4 linked regions of the Solanum lycopersicum genome follow. The protein of the gene in region 1 binds, or shares a complex with, the protein of each later gene. Links are inferred from orthologs where the notes say so. Each region holds a gene or a part of one and is shown in the gene's direction. Other genes may lie near its edges.

Evidence for each region.
Region 2: large ribosomal subunit protein uL3c (region 1) and large ribosomal subunit protein bL34c share a complex: the UniProt entries of both Arabidopsis thaliana proteins name them as parts of the 50S ribosomal subunit. The link is inferred for Solanum lycopersicum from reciprocal best matches to the Arabidopsis thaliana genes AT2G43030 and AT1G29070.
Region 3: large ribosomal subunit protein uL3c (region 1) and large ribosomal subunit protein bL28c share a complex: the UniProt entries of both Arabidopsis thaliana proteins name them as parts of the 50S ribosomal subunit. The link is inferred for Solanum lycopersicum from reciprocal best matches to the Arabidopsis thaliana genes AT2G43030 and PRPL28.
Region 4: large ribosomal subunit protein uL3c (region 1) and large ribosomal subunit protein cL38 share a complex: the UniProt entries of both Arabidopsis thaliana proteins name them as parts of the 50S ribosomal subunit. The link is inferred for Solanum lycopersicum from reciprocal best matches to the Arabidopsis thaliana genes AT2G43030 and PSRP6.

What each region holds. Positions count from the first base shown.
Region 1 is NC_090805.1:36,927,813-36,937,162, forward strand, and holds large ribosomal subunit protein uL3c, read left to right. Parts: upstream 1-3,780; 5' UTR 3,781-3,988; coding exon 3,989-4,541; intron 4,542-5,790; coding exon 5,791-6,080; 3' UTR 6,081-6,160; downstream 6,161-9,350. Other genes in the region: uncharacterized protein, read right to left, coding at 7,412-8,245, 9,086-9,237, 9,326-9,350. UniProt on the Arabidopsis thaliana protein: One of the primary rRNA binding proteins, it binds directly near the 3'-end of the 23S rRNA, where it nucleates assembly of the 50S subunit.
Region 2 is NC_090800.1:53,255,365-53,262,731, forward strand, and holds large ribosomal subunit protein bL34c, read left to right. Parts: upstream 1-2,417; 5' UTR 2,418-2,544; coding exon 2,545-2,758; intron 2,759-3,283; coding exon 3,284-3,540; 3' UTR 3,541-3,660; downstream 3,661-7,367. UniProt on the Arabidopsis thaliana protein: This protein binds directly to 23S ribosomal RNA.
Region 3 is NC_090808.1:67,406,258-67,414,613, reverse strand, and holds large ribosomal subunit protein bL28c, read left to right. Parts: upstream 1-2,349; 5' UTR 2,350-2,498; coding exon 2,499-2,715; intron 2,716-5,140; coding exon 5,141-5,373; 3' UTR 5,374-5,544; downstream 5,545-8,356. Other genes in the region: uncharacterized protein, read left to right, coding at 414-493, 589-1,498; uncharacterized protein, read right to left, coding at 6,592-6,682, 7,190-7,380, 8,122-8,247, 8,347-8,356.
Region 4 is NC_090803.1:63,900,403-63,906,755, reverse strand, and holds large ribosomal subunit protein cL38, read left to right. Parts: upstream 1-2,310; coding exon 2,311-2,646; downstream 2,647-6,353. Other genes in the region: inositol-tetrakisphosphate 1-kinase 3, read right to left, coding at 3,408-3,481, 3,620-3,704, 3,821-3,876, 5,355-5,531, 5,637-5,744, 5,974-6,066, 6,290-6,353.

The sequences.
Region 1 (9,350 bases):
CTTTTTGACCGAAACACTGAGGATAGGTTTAAGGGAATCTTGTCAAAAACATGTTTAAATTGTTTTTCATATATTTTATATTTAAATTATTATTTATTAATTTGAAAAATGTAGATATATTTTTAGGTATTGTCTTGATTTTTTTACTTTATTTAAATTTATTTTTTCCTTAAAAAAATTAAAGTATTGATTATTTGAACTATTTCTGGTCAAATGTAAATCTTTTTCATATTGAATTTATTATTTCCTTATATAAACATATCGAATTTTATACATAGAAGATTCATCTTCTCACACTAAGAATATAATAACTGTGTTTAGAGGATTGTTTGATAGATTGTACAAGAATAATACAAAATAAGGTGCATTAATAATGTTTGTATTAGTAGTGCTTTCATTAATAATGATTGCATAAGTTATGCTAGCAGTATATTTTGTACACATTTTGGTTTGATATATTAGAAATAACAAATCTTGTTAATGTTTATTTAAAAATATATGTTTACAAAAATATCTTTCACACTTTATTTATCTTTACATTTCTTTTACAACAATATTTGTTGCTAAAACATCATTAATTCTTCTTCTTTTTTCTTTTTTAAAACTATATTAAATAGTTATGCTATTTGAGTAAAAAAATTTTGTGAAAAGTTGACAAACAATTTTCTTATCAAATTTATTGTCACAATAGTAAATAATTTTATTAAACTAGTTGAAATTAGATAATTTTTTTAAAAAGAATAAAAAATCCTTAATAATACTAATACAATATATGATCTAAGCGAAGTTAACAACCTTATGATATCAATACAAGTATGATACTAATTTTGTATCAGTTAAGCGAAATTAATTTAGGATATATAGTGTATTTATTTAATAGGATATGAATATAAAAGGGTATATGTCTGTAACTATTTTATTTTTATAGGATATTTATTTAGTTTCCCCAAAATTATTTTATATGTCACGTAAATATGGACTTCACAATAAACTAAAATTTAAAAGATTTCCTTTTTAATTTATTATGATTTCGATATGACAAATAAATTATCTTATATGTCATATAAATATGAATCTCACAAATTGAACTTTTATATTTTAAAACCATATCGCCCCCATATAAATTCGATTTATACCCACGTTGCTTCAATTTTCAGTTTCTACACTATGAGCCACTGCTCGTAAAAGATTTTAATACTCCAATCTCCATATTCATATATGTTGATATAAGTAAACGAGTAATAATAATATATACACAAAAACAAAATACAAGTAATAATGTGCAATTTCTCTTTCCAATTTCCTAATGTGATTTATAGAGTTCCATTAGATTTATCTTGCTAGCTAGTTGTAATGTGATTGTGATATGTCTGGAGCTCTAATGAATTTGGATTTCATACCCAAAATTGATATATATTTTTCATTTGTGATTGGAAACAAAGAACCAGATTACTCAAGGATAAAGTGATTTACTTATTTTAAAAAATATTTATATGATTCGTGTAATTTATATAGCATAAAAATAATTTATGTTGGTATATTAAATTTATTTTAATGATAAATGTACTTGGATGATTTTTGTAGATAAATATCTTAAGTTGAGTGATTTTTTTTTATATATAAAACAAAGTTAAATGACTTTGTTAGATCATTTCTCATAGTTCAATGACCTCTTATGATATAAACTCATTAACTTTGTGTATTAATAATATCTTATTTTGTGGTCGTTTGATAGAATATATAATAAAAATGTTAAATATTGGATCGTTTGGTAGTATGCAAAAAATATATAGTGTATTTGTGATGTTTGTATCAATTATGTTTGCATTAATTATACATATATAAGTTGAGTGATATTGTATAATCATAATCCAAATCAGAGGCCGATTCAGGATTTGAACTTCGTGAATGTCAAGTAGACACATTACTTAGACCATTAAATCAACCTTAGGTTTTGATTCCACACAAAATTTATTAAGCGTAACTTATTTTTAAAAATAATTTTACTAATATTATAAATATATATTATTCATTTATAATAATTCTCGACGAGTTTACATATTTTAAATTACTTATATTTGTAAACATATCCCTTGTAACAAACTAAATAAATCACTTAATATTAATCACCACTCTTATTTTATATTTCATTTTTCATCTACTTCATGAAATAAAGTGATATTTTCACAATTACAATTTCTACAGGAAAATATTTACTTAATCAATTTTAAAAAGATTAAGAAATAGAAATATTTGTTTATTTTATTAGGAAAAAGGATTTTATTATATCTAAATAAAAATTAAAGAAGAAGTTACTGTGATATTATTTACAAAGTACATGACATTGTTCTATTTAAATTACAAAATGAGATTAAGAAAAATATTATTATTTCCATTTTTTTTAGTTAAAAGGTTTTCAAAAGAAAAAAAAAACAAGAAAGGAATTCTTTAAAAACAATAATTTTATTAGAAAATAAAAAAAATTATGTTCATTAGAAAAGGTGTATTTTGACATAATAAAATAACAACATAGACATTTTTAGGTTTAAAATATTAGTAGTGGAGACATTTTTAGAATAAATGTTTAATCGTATGGACATTTTAATAAAATTATTAACAGAGTATATTTTTATTTGACGTGACATAGTTTAAAGCTATTTTTAATGCTTCTCAATCAAACAAATAACAAATTATAAAAAAATTAAAGATTAATAAATTAAATTAGTCAACAATAATTATTAATTAAAACTAAGTCAACTAGAATTTAAAAGAAAAAGAAATATAATCTTCAAAATATGAATTATTGAAGCTAAATTCCTTTTTTTTTTTAAAAAAAAAAGTTGTTATCCGGATTCAATCCGGGGTCTAGAAGGGGGATACAATGTACATATATACACCTATACATACATCGCGTTTTGGCCGAAGCTCGTGGATGGCGTGGCACCCCACGAGCTTAAGTAGATCCGCCCCTGTTCCAAATGTGTGAGAGAGGCATGATAAAATATGGATAAAAAATTTGAGAGAAAAAAGTCGATAATAAGATCTCTTTTTTTCTTTTCATCAGTAACAGGATAAAAAAAAGTGGGTTCAATTTGAAAAAAAAAAGGTAACTAAATTATATTATGATACCTTATAGTTAATAAAATATTGACATATTTACATTTATTAATTATTCTTAAGTATAGATCTTATAATAATTATGTTAGGAATTCTGACTAGTTTAATAATTTTCGCATAAAAAATTATATGATCTTATTCTTGCTATCTAAATAAGACAATTTTCGTATCTAAAAGATTCAAATTTGACCTCTGATTAAGGATTTTGCTCCCTAATAAAGATAAATTTATATCCAGAAGACTCGAACTCGACCTCTAATAAATGATGTAGAAGTATTTGTCACTCTTAGGAGGTATCAAATGAGCGAGTTAGGTTGAAACTGAAAATAATAAAATAAATTGAAATAAAATTTGGGTTGAGTTTTAACCAAACCAAGTTTACTTTGAGTTCAAATGAATTGGACTCAAATTTGGAATGGGTCATGGTCCTGTTCAATTTGACCTGCTTAATCTCAATAATTTCAACTTAGTAATATTTAATTTTTATAATTGTAATTTAAATTTCAACTCAAAATTATTATTTTTTTTAAAAAAAGAAACAGTTACAAATTAATAGATAAATCTTTAAAAAAATATAAAATAAATAATAATTTATACTTTCGGTATAGAAACGTCAATGCAAATAAAAAGTTATATAAAAAAATTGAAATTGATGATTAAATTAAATATTTTTTAAAAAATAGATTAAAACTTAAATGAGTTGAAATTAAATTCGATTAAAATTACGTGAGATACCGCTCCTTAATTTATATTTGGGGTCTTATAGTTTTGTGCAACCATCTCCCTCTTTCCCCATCTTGTACCGGATAAGGAAATCCTATAACAGGGCGTTTCCCCTTCCTCTTTCTCTGTCTCAGCGAACCAGTAAGCCATGTCTCTCTCTTCTTTCTCTACAATGCCCACCGCCAAGCTCCGCCTACAAACCCTACCCACTTCCACCACAGTCACACCCTTAACTCTGCACTCTCCATTTCTCCCCTCTTTCAGACTCCCAAAACATAAACCCCTTTCAATTCTCCGCATTTCAACATCTCCAGCTATCTCTGCCTCTCTTGAAGCTGGAGTCGGAATAATGGCAACCAAACTTGGAATGATGAGTTTCTTTGAAGATTCAGGAACAGTGGTGCCTGTTACTGTTGTAGGGTTTCGCGAAGGAAATATTATTACTCAAATTAAAACTGAAGCTACTGATGGATATAGTGCTGTACAAGTTGGGTATCGACGAGTTCGTGATAGAAAACTAACTAAACCTGAAATGGGTCATCTTGAAAAATCTGGGATTATTCCTCTCCGTCATTTGCAGGAGTTTCGTCTTCAGTCTGTTGATGGATTTGAAGTAACGCAGAAACTTGATTTTAATGAATTATTTAAAGAAGGTGATTTGGTTGATGTCGCTGGTACAACCATTGGAAAAGGATTTCAAGGTCTGTTTCTCTACCACTCCAATTATCCTAAAGATTGCTTTTTTCGGGTCGTTATCTAAATTTAGCCTTGTTTATCAAAGATTTGAGCTCATTTTCGATTGTTTTTAAGTATTTGGGTAAAGTTATAAAGTGCTTATAAACACTTATTTTTAAGTCAAAAATAAGCTAAAGCCATAGGTTAGAAATGGTATAACAAGGCTTTTGGTTTTTATAAAAATCCCATGCCAAACGCCAATCCAAACAGGTCCGAAGATTTCATCCCAATTTCATGAATGAAGTGTACAATTGACCTTGATTTTATGTGTTGTGATTAGTTTTTTCTTATCATCAGTGAGCTATGAATATATTGTCTTTCATATGTGAACTGTGAAATAGAGAACTCGTATTGTTAATGAATCTAGTTCAAATGGATATTCTAAATTCATATAGCTAGCTTGGGATGGAGCGCGGTTGTTGTTTAAAAGAGAACTGGCCTGTGATTTTAGTAGCGTGATACATCTGAAATATCAAGTCTTTGGTTTTGCATTACTGCACTTTGTTATGCTATTGCAATTCATTTATCCTTAAACCAGAATGTATTTGTTTGTATAATTATGATACAATGTATCACTATAGATGTAAATATGATATTTTACTTATTTGTAAGAGTACTTGAAATGCCTGTTACATGAGCTACATTAACTTTTTGGCCAAATGGTTTGTATTAATGCTTCTATTGATTTTCCTCAATAACCGCAACTTTTGTTTGTAAATACTGCAATTCCAACTGAAAATGACATTGTAATTGAACATCGTGGTAGCTCCTCTCTTCGTGTGGCATGGCTTCAGCACCTAAATAAGCTTCATTAATGGATATCTTGATATTCTGGTTAACATGACTTGCTATCATAGTGTTTAATTATGCTGGTTGATTCCACAGTGTACATTTTCAGATGTTTAAATGTGGAAGTAGGGTTTATCAACTTTTCACGTCTTAAAAGTTTATCATAACCTGAATAGTTGTTTGAAGTATCATACAGACGAGACTTCCATACAGGTGCATGTATCGACATATTGTAACTATTAAGTCAAGGTACAGGTAGTTCTTTGGTTCTCTATTGGTGGCGGTCTTGACTCTAGATATATCATTCACTTACTAGAGAAGTAATTTTTTATCTCAAATTTGATTGTCTTTACAGAAAGCAAGTTCTATCTATCATATCTTGTTTTTCGCTCTCTCATTGTTGACACTGGTGGAATTGGCTTGCAGGTGGTATCAAGAGGCATAATTTCAAGAGGGGTCAAATGACTCACGGATCAAAGAGTCATAGACAACTAGGATCAATTGGTGCTGGGACAACCCCAGGGCGTGTATACAAGGGCAAGAAGATGCCTGGACGAATGGGAGGCACCAGGACAAAGATTAGAAAGCTCAAGATCGTCAAGATTGATGATGAACTTAAGATTCTAATGATCAAAGGAGCTCTTCCTGGTAAGCCTGGAAATCTTTTGCGAATAGCTCCGGCCAAGATAGTTGGCAAAAACATCCCCAAGAACTAATTTTTGTTCCCTCTTCTTTTATCAACTCTATGAAGTGATGAAATTTTTTCTTTCAAATTATGATATTGTGTTTCAACCAATCTCTACCTTCAAGTTTTATTTGTCAGATTTCTTAGCTAAAAAACTTTACATTATCAGAAGTCTATGAAAATATCTAGTTTTGTGTCCTCCCTCTCATAACCATAAAAACACATATTCTATTCACGAATCAAAATATCAATCTGTTCAAAACCATTTATCGTATGAGACAAATTATTGATGAAAATTCACAACATATCAATTTGTAAAATAGTGTTTTTTTCATGTACTATAAACTTTAAAGTTCACCATCTCGTCTAAAGTTTGGCATTTAAAACGATTGTAGTTTAATTGGTGTTTTATTATTAGGGAATTGTATGATTTTGGCGCAAAAATATTTATTTTATAGATGACTATACTATAGTGCAAGTCATTATAATTACAAAAGAGAAAGGTAACAGCAACATTACACCACATTGAACACCAATTTATTTTTACATAAGAATTGATAATAACACCAACTCAACAAATCTACACCATTTTTATCCATATTGACAATTGTTAAACATATTCAATCATTCTTATGGTGAATTATATTACTAAGACCAATGTTGTACTACAATGCACACCATTTTATATATTTATGTATTGAAAATGTTATAAAGAATGTTATCTCGTATAATAAGACTTGCCTCCCAATTCGATGAACACATTAATATTTTAATTGATAATCAAATATGTCGCGAGTGACCGATGCCCATTAATAGTTATTTTGTGATTTGGCAAAACAGAGCAATCACTATAGACTATTTTTTTTTTTGTATGAATTAATCGTTAATAGCATTTTGTCTGTTATTCTTAATTGTTATAGTTATAAATTAATTTGAAATTGCTACCGATGATAAACCACATTGTACACCATACAAACAAACTTGACGATACTAAAGAGTTAGTACATACTTTATTCGATTTTGTTGCTATGCATTGTAGGGTCGTAATATATAGACCAAAATCAACTTTTTGAAAAGAAGCCAAAAAGCATATTTTCCCTGATTAGCTACCTATTGGTTTTTTGCCAAAATATTTGGGAGGTCCTACTTGCAGTATCAACTGCCTATATTCCACACCCAATTATCTGTTTGAATCATGGGTTCAAATTCTCAAAATGTTGTTACATACCAATTCCCTAGTTTCAATCTAAAAATTGGATACATAATCTGTACATCCATTTTCCTAGTTCCCCTACCATGATTTAGGTTAACAAGAATAATCTACTTCACCTGATTCAAATGCAGAAAGGGCCGATGAATAAGTTAGAGCTGCAATGCTAAATCTGGCTGCTGCGGAGATCCAACTCGTAAACTAGAACTAGGGGAGCTTGAAGTTTGGACTTTGACATTCAGGTCTGGCGGATGCGGAAGAGATACCCTATACTGCCCTGCAGATACAGAAGCAGGTTGAGAATCTCCAGAAAGCCTCAAATTCTGCTCTAAATTCCCAGAATGCAATGTAGTCCAGCTTTCTCGTAAACTGTTCTCCAGAGAGGAGACACGATTTGAAGGTGACTGATGAGAGGATGAAACATCTCTTTTAGGAATAGTTCCAACCATTTGACCACCAGGCCTTGAGGCGGCCTCTTGTACGTTCGGTTCGCCCTTAGACATGGACAGCCTTTTTACCTCCATTTGCGCAGACAAATCATACCCTATCATACCATTGAACCCATTTCTTGGGTTTGCAGAAGGTTTCTGCTTAGCCTGGGAGTTAGATGGAGGAATTGCACACGAAAAATCACCACTAGCCTCTGCTACATCGTCATTTTGGCTGTTCAATGTCTTACCAGCTTCAACATTTCCATCAGTAGGCCTGCATATGACAGCAGAACCTACACCCCGGATAGATGGTATAACGGTTCTAGAAGAATGGTGATCAGCTGCCAAGCAATCTGATGATTTGTTCTGAGATGAAAAAGTTGACGATAATGTTGATCCTCCACCTTCTCCTACCCATCCAGGACCAAACTTTACTTCAGCAGGTAAAACAGTTTCTAACTTCTTAGAAGCTACTTTCCAGACAACTGGCCCAAGATCTGCAGCAAATCTGGCAAGGCTTCTAGCGTATGCATGCTGCTCAATGTGAACACCAACCTGCATTATAGTCAGATTAGTCTTGGTTGCGTAAGACAGCATCAAAGATAATCACACACAATCACAAGAAAAAAAAGGCATCTTATTTTCTTTCAGGGATGGCGAGACAAGGTAATGTGCAAAGAGTGACAATACACCAGTGACCAGACTGATTACTGCAATTTTTCCCACTCTTTGATTGCATTGATGGGAGGGATCAGCCCTAAAAAGTGTTTAGAAGGTCCAGCATGAGACTTTTAATACTTCACAGCAGAATCATTAGTGAAGCAAATTAATGTTTGCCTATCTAATATAGTGCACTAAAAACACGAACTTTATCTTGCAGTACAGTAGATATACCTACAAGCAACATACAGGTGGAAAGGCCTGTTTTTCTCCATTTTCATTGAAGTCAAATCTTAGAAGGTTGTGTTTTTATCATTTTTTGATAGGTAGTCTTAGAAGATAATGTGTACCGGAAATGCAAAATAATAATTTTTAAAACTCGACAGCAGCAGCATAGTATTTCCTGAAAGGCATTGCACAACTATTAAAAAAAACAGTGAGAACATCCACAACACCGTGCAGTCGTTGAGAGAAGGGAGAAAAAAAAAAAGGTGAGAAAGAACGAGAAAGAAAGGCAACATAAGCCACAAGGGTATTTCGTCTAGTGGTAAGAGCACAACATAGGATGTTTAGGTCGAGTGTCTCACAGGTTTGAACCTTAACACAGACAAAAAGCCTGGTATTTAAGTGGAGAAGGGTAGAGGGTGGGCCCATCATCCACCGATTTTCAAACCCTGTGCCCGGCTGTTGAATTTCTCGTTATTAAAAAAAATAACATAGGCTTAAAGTACATACTGCCATTAACCGCTTTAGGTCATCAGCATTCCACAACAAAGATGGCTCACTACAAGAAGCTGACTGATGGAATAGTTGGTATGTGTCACGCCTGTTTTCATCAACTGAAAAATGTTTCTTTCCATACTTCATATCAGCCCTCAAAATAGAAGCTGCACATAACAAAACAATCAACTTTTCTCAACAAAATAGAAAAACAAGCGATTGCAGAAAAACAAAAAAGAGATGTAAGGTATAAACCTGGAAACTCATTCCAATCAACCAA
Region 2 (7,367 bases), on another chromosome or scaffold:
AGCTTTTCATCCCCAAGCAGATGGTCAGTGGAGCGTACTATTCAAACCCTAGAAGACATGCTAAGAGCTTTTGTGATAGATATTAAAGGTAACTAGGACAATCACCTACTATTGATTGAGTTCTCCTATAAGAATAGCTACCATTCAAGCATTTCCATGACACCTTTTGAAGCACTCTATGGTAGGCAATGTAGGTTTACGGTTTGGTGGTTTGAGGTTTGTGAGTCTTCACTCCTTGGTCCCAAAATTAAATATGAAGCTTTGGAGAAGGTTCGGGTGATAAGGGATATGTTTAAAACAGCTTATAGTCGGCAAAAATCCTATGTCGACAATAGAAGAAGAGATCATGAATTCAAAGTAGGTGATATGGTGTATTTGAAGATTTAATCTATGAAAGGGGTGATGAGATTCGATAGAAAGGGAAAGTTAAGTCCCCGATATGTGGGTCCGTATTAGATTTTGCAATGGGTCAGAAAAGTTGCATATGAGTTGAAATTACCTAGTGAACTAGCTTCGGTTCATCCGGTATTTCACGTCTCCATGCTTAAGAAGTGCATTGGCGACCCCGTATCCATTCTCCCCATTGAAGGGTTAGGTGTGGATGAGAGTATCCTATGAAGAGGTTTCAGTGGAAATTCTAGATCATCAAGTCAAAAAGTTAAGGAACAAAGAGGTGGCCTCCATAAAAGTCCTATGGAGAAACCACCTTGTTGAGGAAGAAACATGGGAGTCCGAGGCCAATTTGAAGTCCCGTTATCCTCATCTTTTTCCTCAAAATTCTATCCAAAGTTGATTTTAGAAATAATTCTCTTAAAATAATAAATAAATTTGAATTTATCTTGTTTTGCTAAAATGTGCATATTTATGGTAAAGGTTCATGCTAAAATGATTTTTCATGTGAAAGTGCTCTTTTGCATAGCTTGTACTTAATTGTGTTTTGTGTATTGTTGCCCCCGTAAATTGGTATTGAGCATGATGTTTTGAAGAATAAGTGGCTTGATGATCATGTTGAGCTCATATTAATATTGAGAAGGTAGTTCCTCATGTTGTGATGTTGAGCTCTTATATGTGGTAAATTGTGATTTGAGTTGCTATAGATGACCAAGGAGCATCACGTTGGCTTTGAAGCAGCTGCATGGTACTGGCATTTTGTAGACGTGGTTCGGTTATTCCTATTTGTCAAATTCCATGTTTGTGTGTTGAATGGACTTGTGAATTACACCTTTAATTTTTAACTCATGTTGTTTATATGTTTCTGGTTGGGCTGCTAGTATTGAGTCTCCTAATTTCCCCTACAAAAGATTTTTACTGTCATTCGGGGACGAATGTTCCTAAAGGGGGATAATGTAACACTTCGAAAGTCCATGACCTAATCTAGAGATTCATATAATGAACCAACACTTCAAAAACTGTTTATTTACCTGAAATACTATATTTAAAGTATTTAGGAAGTGTTAGAGTCAAATGTCAAGAAATGACCATGACGTTCGATGATTGTGAAATATGCACTCGTGTGCCTTGGCATGTTGCATAGAGGTTTAAGAGTCGTAATTTAATGAAAGTTGGTAAAAAGGCGTTACATATATAGAAGAGAGTATTTAGGGTTGAAATGTACAGGTACGACTCCCCAAGGGCCACCCTAGGGGTCCTTGAGGAGGACCCTTCCATTTGGACCCAAAAGTTGTCAATTGACAGTGTACAACCACGAGCCAAGCGAGGAGTCGTCGTTTGATCGACGCTCCGTAGATGGCCTCATAGGTTGACACTTATTCAATTGGCCTGGATGCTCCAAAAATCAAGTCTCTGTCCCAAACAACGACCAGCAGCACGGGGCCGTTGATGGGACTACAAGGCATAGGTCGAGGAGTCGTCGACTGGGTTTGTTTTGCTGTCAAGTTTTTAAGTTGGGGATTTGATCAGTTAGTTAGTTAGTTAATTAATTAAGGGTTAGGGGGTGGTTAATTAAGTTAGTTGAAGGACTATATAATACCTAAGCCTCATTAAACTAACCTAACACCCCACAATTCCCAAACTCAAATCCTCTCCAACTTCTCTCTTCTTTCTCTCTCTATTGCAAGACCCCATTGAAGAACAATTCAAAGCTTGAGTAGGACTTAAATACTTCAAATTTTATCCATCAAACACTAAGTAATCCTAAGGTATGAAAGATCTACACTCTTGGGATCTCTTTCCCCAAAAGGCTCTTGAATTTGGGTCAAAATGATGAAATTGGATAATTTTAGTAAATTTGGAATTTTCATCCAATTGAGGGGCATAAATGATGAAAATTAGTAACGACAAGAGTAAAAATAATTTCCTTTTAAGGTAAAAGACATAGTAAATCAATAAATAAAATTGAAAAATATTTTTACCCTTTCCACTTTAAATAAAAGTGTTTTACTGTGTCAAACCCTCTCTAAATCCATCTTTAACCCGTTTATCTTTTCGGATTACCTAAAGAGTCCCTTGGATTGCAGATAAGGCATCAAAACCTCTTATAGATAGACAGAAGAGTAAGAGGGAGAGTTTTGAAAGAGAGAAAAAATGGCTTCTTTGTCAATGGGAAGTTGGGTATGTTCAGGAATAGGAAACCACAGACCATCCGCTTCGCTTTCTCTACGTACTGGTTCTTCAACAACGACTACTTCTGTTTCTTTGAAAATGGCTGCTAATGCCTCTACTCATTCTGGGTTGCTTCACTGCTCTTTTCTTCCTTCCTCTGCACTCTCTACATTATCTTCTTCAACATCCTTTTCTGGTAAGTTCCATAAATTCTCTATCTTCCTTTTCAATTTTGATGTGGAAATTGAAAATGTGAATTAGAGATTTCAGTTGTTATTTGAATTGGTAATGTGGGGTTGTTTATTGATTCCTGTTTTAGGCAGGTAGTATTTTCATTTGAATTGCTTCTTTTGAGAACTCCTTAATAGGCAATTATTCGCTTGTGTGTATCTTGAGTCCTGTTAAATTATATACACTCTTTGAAGGTACAAGGGGGAGACAAGAGTAGGTTGCAATTCTTCATTCTGATGTTTAGTATTCCATATAACACAAATTTGTAGTGTCTATTTGTGGTCTGACATTGCTGTGCTATTGAAAAAAAGTGAATCGTATTTCTGATTTTATAGTCAAAATCCATTGGTTAAAGCTAGATTATAAAACAATTGAACCAAAAAAGTTTCAACAAAGAGGAGACCTTTAAGGTCCAAAAGACATATGATCAATTTCATATTAAATTGGCATGATGAATAGTAGCGAGCTAATGGTTTAATATGTGGTGTAGGTTCATCATTTGGCATTGGCTTCAATTCCAACATTGGAGTGAGCACCACTAAAAGGCGTGGCCTGGTGGTGCAGGCAAAGAAGTATGCTCTTTGTCAGACTAAGAGGAATAGGTCGAGGAAGTCGTTGGCTCGAACACATGGTTTTCGCAAGCGTATGAGCACCACCAGTGGCAGAGCAACTATCCAGCGAAGACGTGCAAAAGGCCGATGGGATCTCTGCCCAAAGTCTTCACCTAGAACTGGAAAACGAGCTTAATGTTTATTGTTTTCTTGCAACTGATTTTTGTTGGTAATATGTTAACTATCTTTTTCAGAATTTTGGGCTGCTGTAATTTTCATCTGTTTTATTTAAAGAACTAATTTACTAGTTTCCATATTTTTGTATTGTCCACTCTTTCATTGATTGGTTTTTGCTTTCTCCTTCTGATCTTGTTCATGAGTCTGGTCAACAAATCGACCCTGAGAAATTTGTAGACTCAGCAGGTTTTCATTTGTCTGATTCATCATAGGGCTTTTTCAGAGGTCTAATGTTTTCTTTTGTTTTCCATTTGTCATTGGAGAAAGTATTATAAGAAAGTTGCTCCACCAAAGAGGGGAATATGAGACTGACATGTTGAGGTGTTTTATGGACATCGATCGAACAAGGCCCTTATGTAAGGGTGCTATATTGTTCTCACAAATCATTCTTCACATGTTGGGTGAGCTTGGATTGTAACTGCAGTTATTTGGAAATTTCAGAATTGCATTTGTGTTACTAAATTTTGCTTCGTAACTGAGGATTTTACTAGTATGCTGCAGGATCATCCGGCTGTTGGCATGTGTAAGTTGAAATACAATTTAGAAATGTGCCCCAACCGAACCAGAAACCGACCTGTCTATGGTTTTTTTCTATAAATTAGTAGCTCGGAAAAGACAATATATGTAATATTCTATTTCTCATCAATTTGGTAATGCCGGACGTAGGTATAAGAAGCATACTATCCTAATGCATGAGAAGTTTGTATGAGCGAAATATTCACTTTATTTAGTAGACTTTGGTGTTCAGATCAGATATCCAGCATTAGTGAATTTTTTTTCCCATATCAATCCTTTTTGTTCCATCAAAGGCAAATCACAATTCTTATCTTGTTTTCACTATATGAAACAAATAAAGCGTTATTTACACTTGGAAGTACTTCTATTTATAGGATTCAAACTCTGACATGACTCATGAGCTTTTAATTGCTCTAATATGCATTTCTCTAAATCAACTAAATGACTAAATCTGCAAATATCATAAGCTCACTTCTACATAGCCTTAGTATGAAAAATAAAGAAAAACGATAATGGGAGCAACATTTTTCTAACCCAATCTAATATTATATATTCGTTTTTGTTTACCACAAGTTAGAAAGTCAAAGGGTGTCTTTGATAGGAGTGAAAATGTTTCAAATGAATTTTTTCTAAAAATTGTGTTTTAACCTTTTAGGAAAATAAGTGATAACAATTTTGGGGGTGGAAGCGGAATCGTGAGAAGAGAGAGAGAAAATTACAGTGGAGAAAAGATGATGATCTTATTATGACGGGAAGCCTTCTATTTATACAACAATTTTACAAACTTAGCCAATAGAAAATGAACGACATGCTTTACACTTGGCCTTATATTATTTGGCCGATACAAAACGACAAAATACTTTAATAATAATGGCCTTTTACTTTATTTATCACTACTTTTTAGATATGGCCAAAATGCATTATTTCCTAGAAGTTTTAGGTCTAATCTAAATTCTTATTTTACTTTTTGAAAAAAAAACAAAATTAAAGAAGTAAATCTAGCTAGAGTATTTTATCAATTTTATTAAGAACTGATTATGGAGTATTATTTTTCCTATTATGACTTGTGGTTTGATGAGAAAACGTTAAAAAATAATATTTAACGTCCATTTGGATGTATTGTTAATAACATAGGTGATTCTTTTGTATTTTTAGCCTGAGAAAGAATGTAATGAAGAATTCCAAAATGTTGTTGTACAAAATGGCTAAATGGTTGTACCCCCATTAATGGTTCCACCTACATTTTGTGATGTGCAGTGAGGGAGGCAGAAGAAGCAAGAAGCAGCTCCAATGGCGTCGGGAGTGATGTTCATATTGATACCGGCAGGCTTAGGTGTTGTGAGTTGTCTCTTCATTCTATTCTACGTTTCCTTCACTTCCAATTTCTTTATCCACTCCCACCGAATCCATCTCACATTCAACTCTACCCTCAACAATTCATTTGTTGCAAATCCAACTATTCAGACACATACGCATGTGCAATTCAATGGTATGACCACCCCACTAAAATAATTTACTCTCGTTCTGGGTGTAACCTATTCTGCACTAATTTTCTACCTTTTAATTCAAAATATTTGGGGTTTGATATTATGCTTAAAGATTGTTTCCAACTTCTTCATTTGACTGGATAGATAGATGTATTATGAGCTATTTCAGTAGATTGTTGATGTATTGATTGATTTGCATCTTCAACTGCTTATAAGAAGCTAAGGAAATCAATTAGCAGAATATGAAATTACAGATAAATGGGGTTGACAGAAATGATTTCCAATAATAGAAGATGACAATGTTCTGTAACCATGCATACAAGGATATTCTCAGGACACATTGTTGGACTTAGACCCTTGATTGACATAACGTAAAAATCGAAAAGGAAAATAAAATAGAACTCCAAATGGTATGCAAGATTTCACTTCTCTCTTTGTTTTCCTTTTTCACCTCAAACTTTGAGTATGACTATACTAAGCTGAATCTTAAGTAATTACGTTATTTTTGGAACGTTAGGAAAATCTTGTGAAGCAGGAAAAATTGGGCCACTGTTTTAAGGTGCCTTCTGTCATCGGAACTGCCTGTCCTCTCATATTTTGTTCTTTTTCTGTATAATTTCAGATGAGTGCAATTATTTTCTGTAATAGATGGCACATAAAAACATAACCCCCTTGTGGGTCCTCTAAACTCACAATGTAGTTATTCATCAGCACAACTTAGGGCTCTCTTTAAGCAACTGTTAGAAACATTTAGCATCACAACTATATTCTCACTTAGATGTCTAAGGAATCCCAGTTTTGATTATTTAAGCCACCTAATATCACAATTATATTTGTTTATATGTGTATATGTAAATAAATAAAACCTTTGGCACCCAATGTCTGTTGTGAAATGTCTTCACAGGAATTCCCAGTTTGCTAGAGCCACTGTGTGGGTTAATATTTTTATACTTCCTCACACCTGAAGTGCAATCTTTTTCTCACTTTACCATGTTTAAATGTTATACAGAAACCTTTCTATCTGGGAGACATGTCTTACAAACTACTATCGCCTTGAGGGTTGCATTAGTTTTTTTTGAGTTTTCTCTGGGACTGTGCAAAGGAGACCTTTTAAGAACTTACCCGCTATTGTAGTGACTTACAGAAAAGGATAAGTAAACAAGATGACAATGTAACATTTTCTTGTTGTGTTCTGTCTTATTATGTTGATTAAGCACGGCCTGTAGATAGGTATTCCAGTCTATTTTTGTTCAGTTATCCACTGGTTGGCCTATTTATAAGTTATACTAACATGGAAAAACCAGTATATTTGACCCAGTTTACATTTGAAAAACTAAATAGATTGTAGTGTAATGCAATTGTGGAGTCCAACCATGTCCTTTTGGCCTTCTTTAAGTTGTATCTCTTTGCCATATTGATAACTACCATTTCTTTTCTTAAGATTGACGAGTAGATAGTATATTCTGAAATAATTATAATCTATGAATGCTATAGTATCTGCTGCAATTGTAATTGCCTTCAGCCCGACAATATTCTGTCCTGATTGGCATTTTGGCAGGGTTTGTCAGTCCCGATTACTGTATTGTCTGAGATTTGTCGCTTATTTGCTGTATCTAGAAATGATTGGCTTTAAGTTTCAGGAAACCATGTGAATGACAATGACGTATTCCATGACAGAGATGCCTTTGTGGATAACTATGAAGAAATGAATAGGAGCTTGAAGATATATGTTTATCCTCACCTAAAGGATGATCCCTTTTCCAATGTACTCTTGGCTGTTGAT
Region 3 (8,356 bases), on another chromosome or scaffold:
TAGCATGATTAAAGACCCAATTGTCCCTCAAAACCTTTTTACATCTTTTTTGCTATAATAGTGGAGGGTATCTTTGTAACTTAATTTTTTTTTTATGCAATGCATGCTATCTTTTTATGCATCAAATCAAACAATGCATAAAAATAATCTATGTATAACTAATGCAAGCATAACTAATACATGTATTGCTAATGCAAGCATTACTAATACACTCTATTTAGCATTATTTTTATACACTCTACCAATGTTACTTGCTAACAGTGATATATTAAGGATGTAGTTGACCTTTGAGGTATATTTTGGAGGTGTTCTTTGTTAAAAACTCTGTTATTGGGGTTATGTTTCTTAGATGTTGCAAAAAACTTACCAAGGGGTTACTAAAGTCTTTCCTCTAATCACCGTGTCCTGTCCAGGTGGATGCAAATGTACTCAGTTTTTTGTCTGAAGCAGAACTTGAAGAATTACTGGAAGACATCAGATTGGAGTGTGCCAGGTCATTTATGAAAAGTCGCATTTCTTAATGTCATTCTTTTTTTTTTCTCCTTGTCAATTATTTACTGATCTGGAAGGTTTTCTTTTGATCTGTAGGTTTGGCGCTATTAAATCAATTAATGTTGTAAAGCAAAGTCAATGTTCTCTCATATCTGATCCTGCTGCTATGGATACTAGTTCTACCTTGAACGATAGCAATATGGACTTTGGGGAAGAGTGTGACAAAAATGATCCGATCACTAGGAGTGATGATCACGAGTTGGAAGTTGGTGGGCCACACTTCCCCAGCAGTGATCATCATGAGTTGGAAGTTGGTGGGTCACACATCCCCAACAGTGATGATCATGAGTTGGAAGTTGGTAGGCCACACTTCCCCAACAGTGATGAACCCATGGAAACCAATAGTGATAAGGAAGCTGAAAGATGTGCTGATAGTAAAACACACATATCAGAATCTTCACAAGATGATTCTCAAAAGGCTGGGGATGACGATGCTTTGGCTGGTGGCAGTCATTCGGATGATAGACCTTCTGAGGAGCTAATAAAAGACGACAGCTCTGACCCTCTACCAGATGACAGTAGTGTCTCTGCTCAAGAGACAATCTTCCAAGAAAATCTCGAGGTTACCCGTACTGGTATGGTTTCAGAAAGGAAAGATGAAAATGCTAATCCCAGTCCACTGGAGCATCTTGAGATAAACAATGACTCACCAGTTAAGGAAGCAATTAAGTCAGAGGAAGACAATGGAAATGTAGACGATAGACCTTCTGAACCAGAATTCTCATCGAAAGAAGAGTTGGATGCTCCAGAGGAACTTGAGAAAAAGGAAGAAATCCCTATTACTGAAGTGTTTGATCCGGGCTGTGTACTTGTGGAGTTTAGAAGAGCAGAAGCTGCATGCACGGCTGCTCATTGTCTACATGGACGACTGTTTGACGACCGAATAGTGACTGTGGAGTATGTTCCCCTTGATCTCTATCAGACAAAGTTTGCTAAACAAAACTAATTTCTTTTGGCCCATTCAAAACCTTATGCAGATCTCCCCAAACTTGAACGACGTTAACATAGGATTTCACAATGCTTAACTGAATGTTTGTTTGCAATTTTTACCATTATTGAGATGCCTTGGTGTTAACCCTTTTGTTAGTGCGAGAGTCGTACCCGATTTGAAGCGGAATACATGTTTTCTCCCAGATGTAGAATGGGATGAAGGAATGAGCCATTGTATTATGTCATCTAAAAATTATGAACTTTGTTTTTAAGTTGCAACAGTTTACCTACTACTTACAATATACAGGAGCACAATCTTATGGCTTCTTGAAATCTTTTATTTACCTTCTTATTATTTTGCCTTAATGTCTTGTGCTTGTAGTTCTAAATGATGTTGGTCACTGACTCAGTTGGACAGTTGATGGGATAACAGATTTTAGGGGTTGTTTGGTTAGAGAGATAAGGACATTCATAACATAGTGTGATTGATTTGAAGATAGTAGAGACGTTCAATATTATAATGATTTGATTTTGGTCTATTTGTTTGGTTTATCATAAGTGGAACCTGAAGAGGGAGAAAACGCTTAATATTATAATGATTTGATTTTGGTATAGGCTTAATAATGATTTGATTTTGGTATAGGCTTAATACTCTCTTTGTTTGGTTTGTGATATTAGACTTCCACGTGAGTAAGTAATGGAAATAAGATTAAAGCATAAACTAAGATAACACAAGTAATGCAAATAAAATTAAAGCATAACTATGATAACATATTACTTCCAAATAAGTTAGATTTTGTTATTTATTTATTCTTTTATTTAAATCGTTTGATATTATTAGACTAAAGGAAAAAATAAGTTAAATATATAATAACAATAAAAAAAAATATGAAGGCCAACAAATAAAATCATTACCCACATCCATTTCGTTATCCACTCTTCACTTCCTTCTTCAAAAAAAAAAGCAACATTCTTGAGACAAAAAAGATTCTTGCTTTGAGGAATTGGTTGCAAAAATGGCGACAATCACAGCGGGTATAAGCCTCAGAGGACCAGTAGTGGGTGGTTACAGGACATTTGCAGTGACCAAAAGGGCTTTACCCAAGGTGAAATTCAGCTCAGAGTTGAGTTTTGTGACTTCTCAATTGAGTGGCATCAAGATTTCAAGCACCCATTTGAGCTCTCCTGCTTCACTTTCTGTTCCTTTCAAGACAGCCCTTCAACCTGTTGCTCGTAATTTCTCTACCCTTTTGTTGTGTTCTCTGTGTTTTTAGTTGTTGGGGTTGTTTCTTTTTTGGTCTAGTAATATGCACATGAACTGTTTGTTGTTTTGTTTGTTTCAGTGAATTGTTGGGTTTTAACAATATTGTGAATTGTGTGTAAGAAATTGTGCTTGTGGGGAGGCAGTAGGTAACCTTAGAATTAGTCGAGGTGTGCGCATACTGGCCATACACCACAATTGTCAAAAGGAAATTGTATCTGATAATTTGAAGTTTAGTTAAGTACTTGTTACTTAGGGTAATGGTTGTTGAAGTATGTGCAAACTGACCCCGACATTACCATTATTTAAAATAAAAAAAGAGTCTTGGTGCAATTGCAAGGTTGCTCCTTTGCTGACCTGAAGGTTACGAGTTCGAGGGGCGGAAATATTAACTTTGTAGACCTATTGATGGTAGAGGTGACATTTCAGCTTTCTGAATTTCAATTAATTGGATCACATGCAAAGGGATACTGTATGGTATACACCTTCGGTCCCTCTACCCATGAAGTAGGGATAGTAAGTTCTTCTTGAACATTGATGGGGAAAAAGGAAAGATGATAACTTTCAAATGTTAATACGATGAATCATCATTTTGGTGCAGGTAGCCTTTTTATTTGTGTGTGTGTGGAGTGGCCGTACTCAAAGGGTCACAGGACCGAAATCATCATGAGTGTTACTCAGATAATTGCTCATTCCATACCTGAGACCCCATTTAGTAGTCGGGTGTCTAGAATTCAGATATGTGCTTTGTGTTGATAGCACATTACGTTAGATTGTTTAGTACCAAGTGAAAGTTAGTATTGCTGATATGGGATGAAAATTATCCCTTACAATGTGGAGGATCTGAAGACATAGCCAAAGTTGGAAAAAGTTTGATTCAGTTGCAATTTGCAAACTAAATATATTGTTTTCTTGAAATCTGTGGTATGGTAAGCTGAGCACTTGACATTAATCACATATTATTAAGTTACATATGATAATCAATGATTAAAAACCATATTATAGTTTACTATCTAAACAACTTCTTATATAACTTCAAGAGGAGAGATTAAAGGGGTGTCATCATTCCAGGGGTTTAAAAGTCTGTCTACAGTCGCAAGAAATAGGGATAGGACAACCTCACCATGTGCAAAATTAACAAACTGGGAAGAGCTTGATGGACTACAGCATATTGATTAAAGGGAGCTGCCGCGTTAACTGCATTAATAACAACAAGATCAATAAAATACGGTATATAGTTTGGAAGTTTGTCCATAGTTGTCTTCATATACTGAATGATCCCTAATTTTTCCTCCTTGGCTCTTTGTTCTCTGACTTAAGGATTGCCGATATTTAAGGCATAACAGATTGTCCAAGTGAAGAATTATAAATTATTTCATGATAAATTTCTTATATAGATGGTATCAACAGTTTTTTGGTTAACAAAGTTTGCATTCCTTTGCTGCAATTCATAGACAAAGCTGCAAAAGAAATACTATATGCATGAGAAGATATTATAATTCTTGTCGAGGCCTTTTAGGTCTCATTAAAAACTGACTGCAGCCTAAAGGGAGCTTCATTTTCTTGCTTTCACCTCTCTTGATAATGAGCAGGATTTCCATCTGCCTATTCTTCTCTCCATGAAACTTGCAGCCTAATAGTGAAATAAAAGCTTTATGAGATTCAAAGCTTATGAAAGTAGATTTCTCGCTATCAAGAATATGTAAATCCATTTACCTCTCAAATTCACCTTCTGCATTTTTTAATATTTATTTACCCACCTGTGTCCTTATTACAAGTGACCAAACTAGTTAAAAAGAAGACGAAACCAATAATGAGAGGCTGAGAGAGTGTGTTAGCTGCAGATTTGGAAGGAAAAATCTACAGAACTTGAATCTTCGGTGTGTTCGCCCCTCTGGTGTACATTATATTTTGAATATGATGATAACAGCTTGGTTTAATTCGTTCTCATTGTATGACAACAAATTGTAAAGGGTTGACTTACCTTTTGTGAAATCCAGTAATGGCAGAGTATTTGGCTTTTAGATCACTGATGAAGCTTTAGTTTACTAATCAGAAAGCACATTATGAGAGTCATTAGGAGCACTATATCACTGACACTCTTGCTTGCTTTGACTCCCTTTCTAAGTTGCTGCATTTGTCAAACTGCATCCTGAATTCCTTTGTTTTTTTAGTCCAAAACTACTTAAAGCCTTTGAGCTAATAGGTAAAATAAAACAAATTAGGGACAAGAGTAATCAAATATTCCCAGTGAAGCATCCTTTGCCTTACATCATCATGATCTTTCCTTTCCCCCCCTGCTTTCCTGCATTTTTGTCGGTTGTGCTCGAATATCTTGGCGCCTCTTTATGATAAGTAGCGTATAGAATATTAAGAGAATACATTCTGTTTTTTCAGGTAGAGTATGCCCCTTCACTGGCAAGAAGTCCAACAGGGCAAACAAGGTCTCTCATTCAAACCACAAAACGAAAAAGTTGCAATTCGTAAACCTTCAATACAAGAGAATTTGGTGGGAGGAAGGCAAACGATTCGTGAAACTGAGGTTGTCAACAAAGGCCATAAAGACCATTGAGAAAAATGGACTTGATGCTGTAGCCAAGAAAGCTGGGATTGATCTCAGCAAGAAGTAGAACCTGGAACCTGATAGCATATTTGTTTGGACACTAATTTTGATGCCCTCAAAAACCATAACTTTATTTTTTGGCATTGCTTGTTGATTTGTAGTTATATGTTTTCATGATATTACTCTCCAAGCATATCTTGATCACCTACTTTCAATGAATATCAACATCATTCTCTCATATCTCAAGAAAAGAACAGTTTAGCCTGGAAATGCAGGCTGTTCACTAATAAACCCTGTGATAGTGACACTGCTTCTGAAGTTCAGATAATTCCCACTTAGTCGCGGACTAGGGGTGAAAAACGAAAGGTGTTTTTTGGTCCCTCTATGAGCTTCTTAAGAGTGGTTATGCACAACCAAAAAAAGGGAATCAAAGGTCCATATTTGTGTGTGCGCGATACTCGTTTAACCTTTACATTCAAGAGACAAATGCATAGAGGATACATGTAATTCAAGAGGTAAAGTTCATCTAAACATTCACCCATAACAAGAACGAAACAAACTAATATCACCACCTTTGACACATTACAATACATTAAACAAGTCAAAACATAGTCTGAACAAAGTACAGAATGTTCAGAAAGTGTTTATGCTAAAAAGCTCATTTATAGCTATCCAACAAAGTGGATAACAAACACGTTCCATTTGATTTTTTGGTTGCCACTTCTCTTCATCAGTCAACTACAGCTCTCCAAAAGATACCTGAAATCAGCATGTATTGCTTAAATTCAGTAAGGAGTTCAATATACTTTCTGCATAAACAAAAAAAACTGATCAAAGCAACAATCATAAAAGTTTTTGTGTGGTCGTAGTAAGAGTCTAATAGACTAAAGATACATAGTAACTCGCCAACAAAGATTGATTTCAGGAAGGTAAAAACTTACTCGCACCCAATATAAGCACTGAATCAAGTTAATCCAAGGCCAGGAAGTGCAGTAGTCTGAAATTGAGATAAAACTTTGTTTTGCTTTTCTTTCCTTCTTTATAGTTCTTGCTATGCTATAGATTCTGATGTGTATATCGACGCTTTATCAAAAGATCCTCATTTTCTTATATTTTTATTTGACATTATGTACAGAGGATGGCAATTTAACCATGGTTAAATAATAAAAGTAGCTTTAATTGCTGAAGCAGTCAATTTTTTCTCCTAAAAATGGCCAACAAACATGTTCAATGTTCAGAAAGATTATTTCGAAGTCAAAACCAGAATTTAAAGGAAGTATCACCTTCATTTATGTATCCTCCCTTGCAAATCAAAATCATCAGCTGTGTAGTAGTCCGATATGAGACGATACATATATGACGGGTTATGCCCTCCACTGTAAATCAGAAAGATGCAAGAAGTATTATTATCATAAAACTGCTTATTAACTCATAAAGTGGCAAAATAATACATTACGAATTCCCATTGCACGCCCTCTTAAACACAACAACCACTAAACCTCAATCCCAAGCAACGTGGGGTCGGCTACATGAATCCTCATGGTCCATGTTGCTCCCTTCAGCCTATCTAAGTCCAAATACACCAAACTTTTGCATGTAAAACCTTGACTCGATTTTTTTAGTAGTTTATTTTATGCACTATAAACTATGGTGGAGTTAAAACGCAGTAGTCTTTTTCTTTGAAAAGTAAACTGAACTTCATCATACTGAATGGTGCATACTAAACATAACAAAATAAAAGATTCCCGTATATTAGTAGAGGATACAATGTAGAACTGTATTATCCACGCTGCTTTGTTATGTGCAAGCCAAAATTAGCTCGGGATTGAGACATCGTTGTTGCAAAGACGAATAAAAAGTTGAAAATGGTAAAGAATCCTCACATGTCGGTGATGAGAAGGCTGACAAGCTCGGGTGCCACATAATCAAAACCAGGGTTGACAACTTGAAGAGGAGCCCCACTATCCATTCCAAATTCCATGCAGTTTGAAAATAGCCCGAATTCGAGAAGTTCAGCAGGGGATCGCATGTCATTCAGACAAACCTCTGGATTGTGTGGATAAGAAGGGCACAACTGTAGCAGAAAGAAAATAGTTAAACGGACTAACTAATGATAACTGCAAGAAAAAGTAGAAAAAGAGTTTGCTGCTGAAGTGGCAAGTGTAAAAAGGATAACTTTATGGTCAACTCAAAATGGATTCAAGGATCTGCAAAGCCTTACATCAACATTATACACCATTTTTAAAGGTTCTGAACATCATAGTAAACCTGAAAAGCTGAGTTCTTCTCATGTTATCAGAGCCTTCTAAATTGAGAATGATAATCAGCAAGATGTATAAAAATCGCCAATAGTAAGAGCTGAGAGAATAGCCACTTAAACGGTTTGGACTGTACAAGTTGATAGTTCTCATGACCTCTCTCTCTCCACCCCCCCACCCCCACCTCCGCCCACCCACCTTAATAATACCTTTTTGATAGTTAGTCCCTCCATTGCAGACTCAGGAGTTGCATGGATGGTAAGCCCCTCTCACCTCCAACCCTAAGATTGTGGGTTTGAGTCACCAAAGGAGCAAAAGGGTGGGTGTCATGGGGATGGGTAAGGAAAAAAGAACTCCCTAAGAAAGTAAAGAAGACTTTGGAATGTACCAAAATGCCCTTCAACTTCGTGTCCTTAAATATGTCATGTGGAAAGTTCGAATCAAGAAGTTGCCAAGAAAGGAAAGAGGAATTCGTTTTGAAACAAACTAAGAAGGAAACTAAGACAAACAAATTTAAATGGAGGGAGTAATATGTAGAGATAATAAAGCTCAGATACCTTGTGAATGCCAGCAACTACGACAAATGGAACAGCATGCTTTTGAGCGGCAAGTGCAACCATATTCATTCCAACAGGTGCAATGACACCACCATTGGCCATCACTGCATGAACTCCCACTATAACCTACAGAACAAGGTTACGGTTCTGAGCACAGGTAGCCGAAGCAGCAGAACAAGGTTACAGATTGGTACTACACATAAAAGAGCCAATCCAGAAAGTTACCATATTTACT
Region 4 (6,353 bases), on another chromosome or scaffold:
TAATGATGTTAATATAAAAGATTTGTGATTTTTTTTTATGTTACTCTATAGTTGTTAATTGCTATTTTTGTCGTTTGTTGTGTTATTGTTAATACTTGATTACGTATTGTTTAATCAAGAAATAATATAATCGTAGGCTGTAATCTTGCCATTGTTAAATCATTCTAACTTCCTAATTCATCGATTTCAATTCTTTTTAAATATCCAATTCCAAATTTAAAAAATGATGAAATTCATTCCTTAAATATAGAAATAGAATAAATTTGCTCTTCGTTTGAATCTACTCTTTTAGATCAATAATTTGAAAGGTTGGTGTTTGACTAAAATTTTAAAAGAAAATAAGTGATCCTAAGGAGATAGTCTTTTAGAAAAACACTTTATAAAAATAATACACGAAATACTTTTAAAAATTTGACCAAGTAAAATTATACTTGAAATACTTTTAAAAAATTTATTAATCAAACATAAATTACTTCTCTTCGAAAATATTTTTTAAATACTTTTCAAAATAAATTTAATTTAGAAGTTAGTCAAAACATGTTACTAATATGCTTTTATTGTTAGTTAACTGGTTAAAATTTGCCAAAGTTGAGTAAATCTTGAGATACCCACATTAATAACCAATAAGGGCAGTAAATTTAATAGGAAGACAGAGTAAACTTAAGCATAACATTCAAAGCTATGGCCTACCGTTCAATTCATTTTTAATAACATTTTATGATAAAATATTTTCATATAGTTTTTAAATATCTAAATTTAAAATATCAAATAAATATAATCTAATTTAACTTTGAAAATTAATTAAATTATCTTCTGAAAAACATAATTAGCTTGAAATTGATAAGATCATAGATTTAAATTCCGATCGACATAAAACCACTATTCTATTTTCTTTCATCTTTGACTATCAGGGTACATGATACTGGATCGGACACCAGAGTTATAAAAATATGCAATTTAACTCTTTTTCCAATAAAACAAAGCACTAATTGCCAAAATGCTAGAGGTAACCAACTCATTTTTACTCGGCTATAGGATGTTTTGGGCTGATTAGTGCAGATGAAGTTGGTCAATCCATTAATCTTGATGATTCATATAAGTGGGGGAACAATAAAGGTCACGGACTACAAATGGGATAGACTGGCCTATAATATTACTCACAAGGCTAACAGTAGATGCAAAGAGACGTATATGTTTGTTCTTTTATGTGTAAGAATCATACTCAGGTGTATTTTGTATGACCTACTTATTTTCAAGTATCTTTTTCACGGTGTTTGATTGTCATGTAATAATTGATTGAGTCGCCTTCAACATCAAGTGATTGAGTTCACGTTTGATGGATAAAAAACACTATTAATCCTTCTGGAGTGGGGTGATTTTACACATATATATTATAGCAAGGAAAGAGTAATAGGTACACGTGAACTCAAGTTGTGCCTAAATAAGCAACTAATAACAAAAAAGTGTTATTATGGTAATGAAAAAATAAAAGTATCCATTCAAGTGAAGTTTACTTCAATATCATCGAAAAAGGAAGGAAAATGAAACGATTTGACACCAATTGAAGGAACAATTTAACCTTTTAGAAGTAAAGTCATTTCCTCTAAACATGTAACCTACTAATAGTCAACATTCACTTCTCATAGTTATGTCCAAAATACAACTACTATGCTCCATATATTATACAATAACTTTTATATTAAATCATATAATATCAGAGAAAGATTAAAATAATTATGACTAGTTGAAAACATTACCAAACATACAGACACAAGTTGAGGAATTGTGTCCCATGATCTTATAAGATTATTACTCATTTGAACTCAATTAGGCCGTGTACTTTTGACTCTAAATTATATTCACTTATGTACTAAAATTTCATAAACTATTCTTTAATCACAATGACCTTTGGGTCTCTAACTAAGAATTTCTCCGTCTCTGCCCTTTATACACACCGTCCATCGCTCCTATCGATTGTGAAGTTACGTTTAGTTTTCAGACTTAATATATGAACATAAATGGTAAGTTATTATTATACAAAAATATAAACTATACATAAATTAAAGACCAACACTAAATAGAAGCAAAAGTGTAAATGATCCCACAGATTTATTTGGGCCAGACCAATTGTTGTTCTACTACATCCAACACTCAAATAACCCAAAAGGGCTTTAAGGCCCAAATGCCAAACGGTGTCGTAACCTTAGCAGAAACTGAAGTCACCAGAAGATAACGAAGGCAATCCACTTCAAAGGTTCCATTAAACACAGCCAGAAGAAGGAAAAACCTTTGAAGAGAAGAAAAAAGAAAATGTCAGCCTCCGCCATATTCGGGTTGCAGATGGCGGTGTTGCCGCGTTCCTCAACTGTTTCAGCGACCGGATTCACCGGCGGAGCCACCAGGTTGGCGTCGGCACCCACAAGTATCGGGGGATTGGTAATTGAGTGCTCATCTAGGCCACAGAAGAAGGCTACAGCTCACCATAAGAAGACACGTCCACGGAAGACTCAAGCTTGGGATATTCGACGTGGACCAGCTGTTTATGCTCCGTTACCTCCCTTACCATCGGAGTGGTCCTTTGCCAGTGATGAATCGGGTCAACCCGCTGCCGCCGGAGCTTCAGAGTCCGACGCCAAATCTGAGTAATTTTTCTGTAACTTATCATTTCGGCTTTTGTATAATGGTGTTTTCCGTCTGATACTTTGGGGAAATTTGCAACTTGTTCAATTGCAGTTTTGGCGCAATAAGTGATTTGAAATGAATGTTTTACGCTTTACTTTTTAATCTATTCAATGCCACTGGATAATGCCGTAGCTTGTGAGATAATAAACAATATCCTTCGAATATCGGTTCCGTATAATAAAATAGCAAAATTATATATTATGTAAAGCAAATATCAAATGTGATCGGGGAGAGGGGTCTCGTACTAAAAACAATGAATGAGAAAACAGTAGCTATGTTTGTATTTGCATTAAGGCAATATACTCGCTCATTCAACATCGGAATCCTTTGAACTATGTCGCAACAACCATTCCGATCAAAACCAAACTATCCAGTAGATTAGACGAGCCAACAATGTACATTTTATGTTCCTACTGTAAATGGCATATTTACAAAGTATGAAACCCAATTATTTGCCCTCCAGACAACATTTACCAAGGCCTCAAAGCTTTTCTTGAATCTATCAATTATTCAAAGACGGGAAACAAAAAAGACCCCAAGCTCACTTAATTGGAATCGTGTACCAAAAGGGGCAAAAGCTTCCAAAGTAGCAACCGTTATCGAGAGAGCTCTTCTGCACTTTCCACCACTGTCTCCGATCAGCTTACAGAAATTGCGCAGGAGATTCCTTCCCAGCAGTTCCGTTTGAAGTAATAGTTAACGAGGAGCAGATTTTCACAAATTTCTCATTGTTTCTGCTTCACAAGGCTCAGGAGAAAATCAGTGAATATGTGCTCATACTCTGGCATTTTCCCATAACCTGCACCATATGGTATAAAAAAAAAAGTATTGCAATCATAAATTTAAGGGAAAAATATTTTCTTCAAGAAAGTGGTGCACAACAATCAAACTACTTCAATCACAGATGTTGAGTGATTCTACAAGAAGGATTTCTTACCAGGAAAGTAATTAATATCTATGACATAATATCGGTCTTTGGTTCCAAGCTCTCTAATTATATCCAAGTTGAAGAGATGGAGACCCTACACAAACATTGCAATAATATTTTAGGAAATTACCTTACATCAGAAGTTGTAAAGCAAGTACGAAACATCATTTACGGCATAATTTATGGAAAGAGAAACAGAAAGCAATATACCAGTCTACGTCGAAGTTCCTTAGCAAGCTTTTCAAGTAATGGCCGCGGAGGAAGCTCTGCAAAGGATAAGATGTTAAAGAAAATCATGACCAACCATCCAAGATTTACTTCAGGTCTCTACACGTAGATAATACATAATTAAATGCAACAGTACAGCATATGTCATCCCGAGTATAATAGTATTCACTTAGGTAAGATGGATGTCACTGGTCTGATCCAGCAACATGAAACTAAATACAGTATGTAATAAATCCCACACACATAAGAGTTCCAAGGCAATACCATTTTGCCACATACTAAGAAGCTTTAAACATTTCCAAACACTTTGTGTCTCCTTAGTTTCTAAATTTCAAACTTCAAGATTGAGTGTCCTGTCCGCGAACAACTTCAAATGGCATCATACACCAAAGAACCATCACGACTGATGGCCCTTTCCAAACCAATCATTTCTTGTAATCCTCTCATAAAACATCATTTAAGTATGATCCATTTAAAGCACTTCTGGAAACGAATGGAGGAAGGTTATTAAACAGAAAATGATCTTTCTGTTCCACATAATCAAAGACCTATTCTGCATTGCAAGGTTTTAGGGGTAAAACATTTGAAAGCATCATCTTATTTGAGTTTCTTAGTAAGCAAGTTTTCAAAATAGTAGTATGAAATGTGAAAATTTAAAGTAGCACCTTGAAAATGTCATCACATCAAGTTTAAAACATAGTTGCAAAAGTTTGAATTATTGAAATGAAAAGAAAGCACGATCATTTAGAATGAATATAATAGCAAAAATGTTCTAGTATTGGGGCAGAGACAGCAAAAATTGTAAAGCTTATTGTTGGCGGTAAAAGATCAACGTTAAAGGAACCCATTCCAGACTCCTGTGATACCATGATTCAAAAGAATTAGAAGCTCATGGTCCTAGAGAAATGTCAACAAGACAAAAACTCAAAACAACTCTAAGACAAGTCATATAAGATAAACATACTTGTTAAGAAAATCTCATATCCACTAATAACAGCGACCCATTCTTCCTAGCTCTTGCTGATCTATAGTATTAGCTTCTGAAAAGCTTTAAAATCATTGACTGGTTCATAGAAACAATTTTTTTAAAAGATAAAAATAAAAATTTTGGACCAAAGGCCCGTTTCTTTCTCATGAAATATTAATACACATCCAGGCTAGTCATTACCCGTTTTAAATAAATGCCAGATAGCCCAAAAAGGAAATAAAAGGGCAGCTTGGTTTGGGAAAGACCAATATTGCCATTTAAACCAAGTTGTCCTTTTATTTCCTTTTTTGGGCCATCTGGCATTTGTTTAAAACGGTCTAATAACTAGACTGGATATTTATTGATAATTTCATCAGAAAAACGGACCTTTGGTCCATTTTTTTATTTTTTATTGAAGCTCTTATTTTTCATCTGCTTTATTCTTCTAGTGTATGCCATAAATTTGTGCATTCACATATCTAAAGCAAACATGATGTATTTGATGAATCGAGAAAGAGGAAGTAGTCACTGAGGGAAAAGATGGCTCACCCCCGACACAAGGGTCTAAATCTGCTTCATCTGCAGATGCAGCAGCACAAGAAACTCTTGGGAATCTAAAAACCCCAGGGTTTGTTGACAGCTCACGCTTGCTAATATCAGGTAAACTGAATCGTCTAACAACCTTAACTGCTTCCCCAACAATGTATACTTTAAACAGAATTCCTCCTACAACCACAAGACAAAAAATACATAATCATCAACACGACGACTTATAAACATTTGCACATGGAATGGAAGGCACAAGTTCAATATCTCAAATAATATACGTACCGTGGTTGATAAATTCCTGTAGCACAAGTGGGGGTTCTAGCATCTGAAGAGAGAATTTGTCATAGGCTAGAGACAACTCATGGGACTTGGCAGCCAAAGGCTTTGCAACTGAGAAGATAAAAGAAGCTCAATTCAGGGATTTCATGAACAGATTACATTGTTCACATACTGCTCAAGTTTGAAAGAGATCACTTTCAAATTATTCAGATGCTTGTCACATGTAAGTTACACAGTTGCAACTTTGATGGCTACAAGAGAGGTACAGATCTTGAGTTTTAAAGTGTCAACTGCCCAAGGATCAGTTGATTAAAGACGAATGTGAAGAGAAAAAACGTACCAATAGGTAGTCTCAGCTCAGCTTTACCTACTGCATCTGGAATAGATGAAGAATCTTTCTCAATAACCAGTTGCCTGGGAACACCAACTTCCCCTGTCATGCAATCAAAAATAAGTTAATCCATTTTTTTCACTGATGTAGTAAACCCCACCCCTCAATCTCCCTTACCCAGCTGCCCAGCATTTGGTCCTCTCCCCACTTCTTCAAGCCAAGAAGAAAAAGAAAACGTGGCAATCCCAGTTCACACAGCTTCCCAGGGCTAAAATTACTGCAATCAATTGTTCTCAAATAACCATGAACAGACGGGAAATATTACCATAGGTGTCCGACAAATTCAGGTCCGCAACATCTTCAAGCATGTATTGGCGGTTGTATATGTG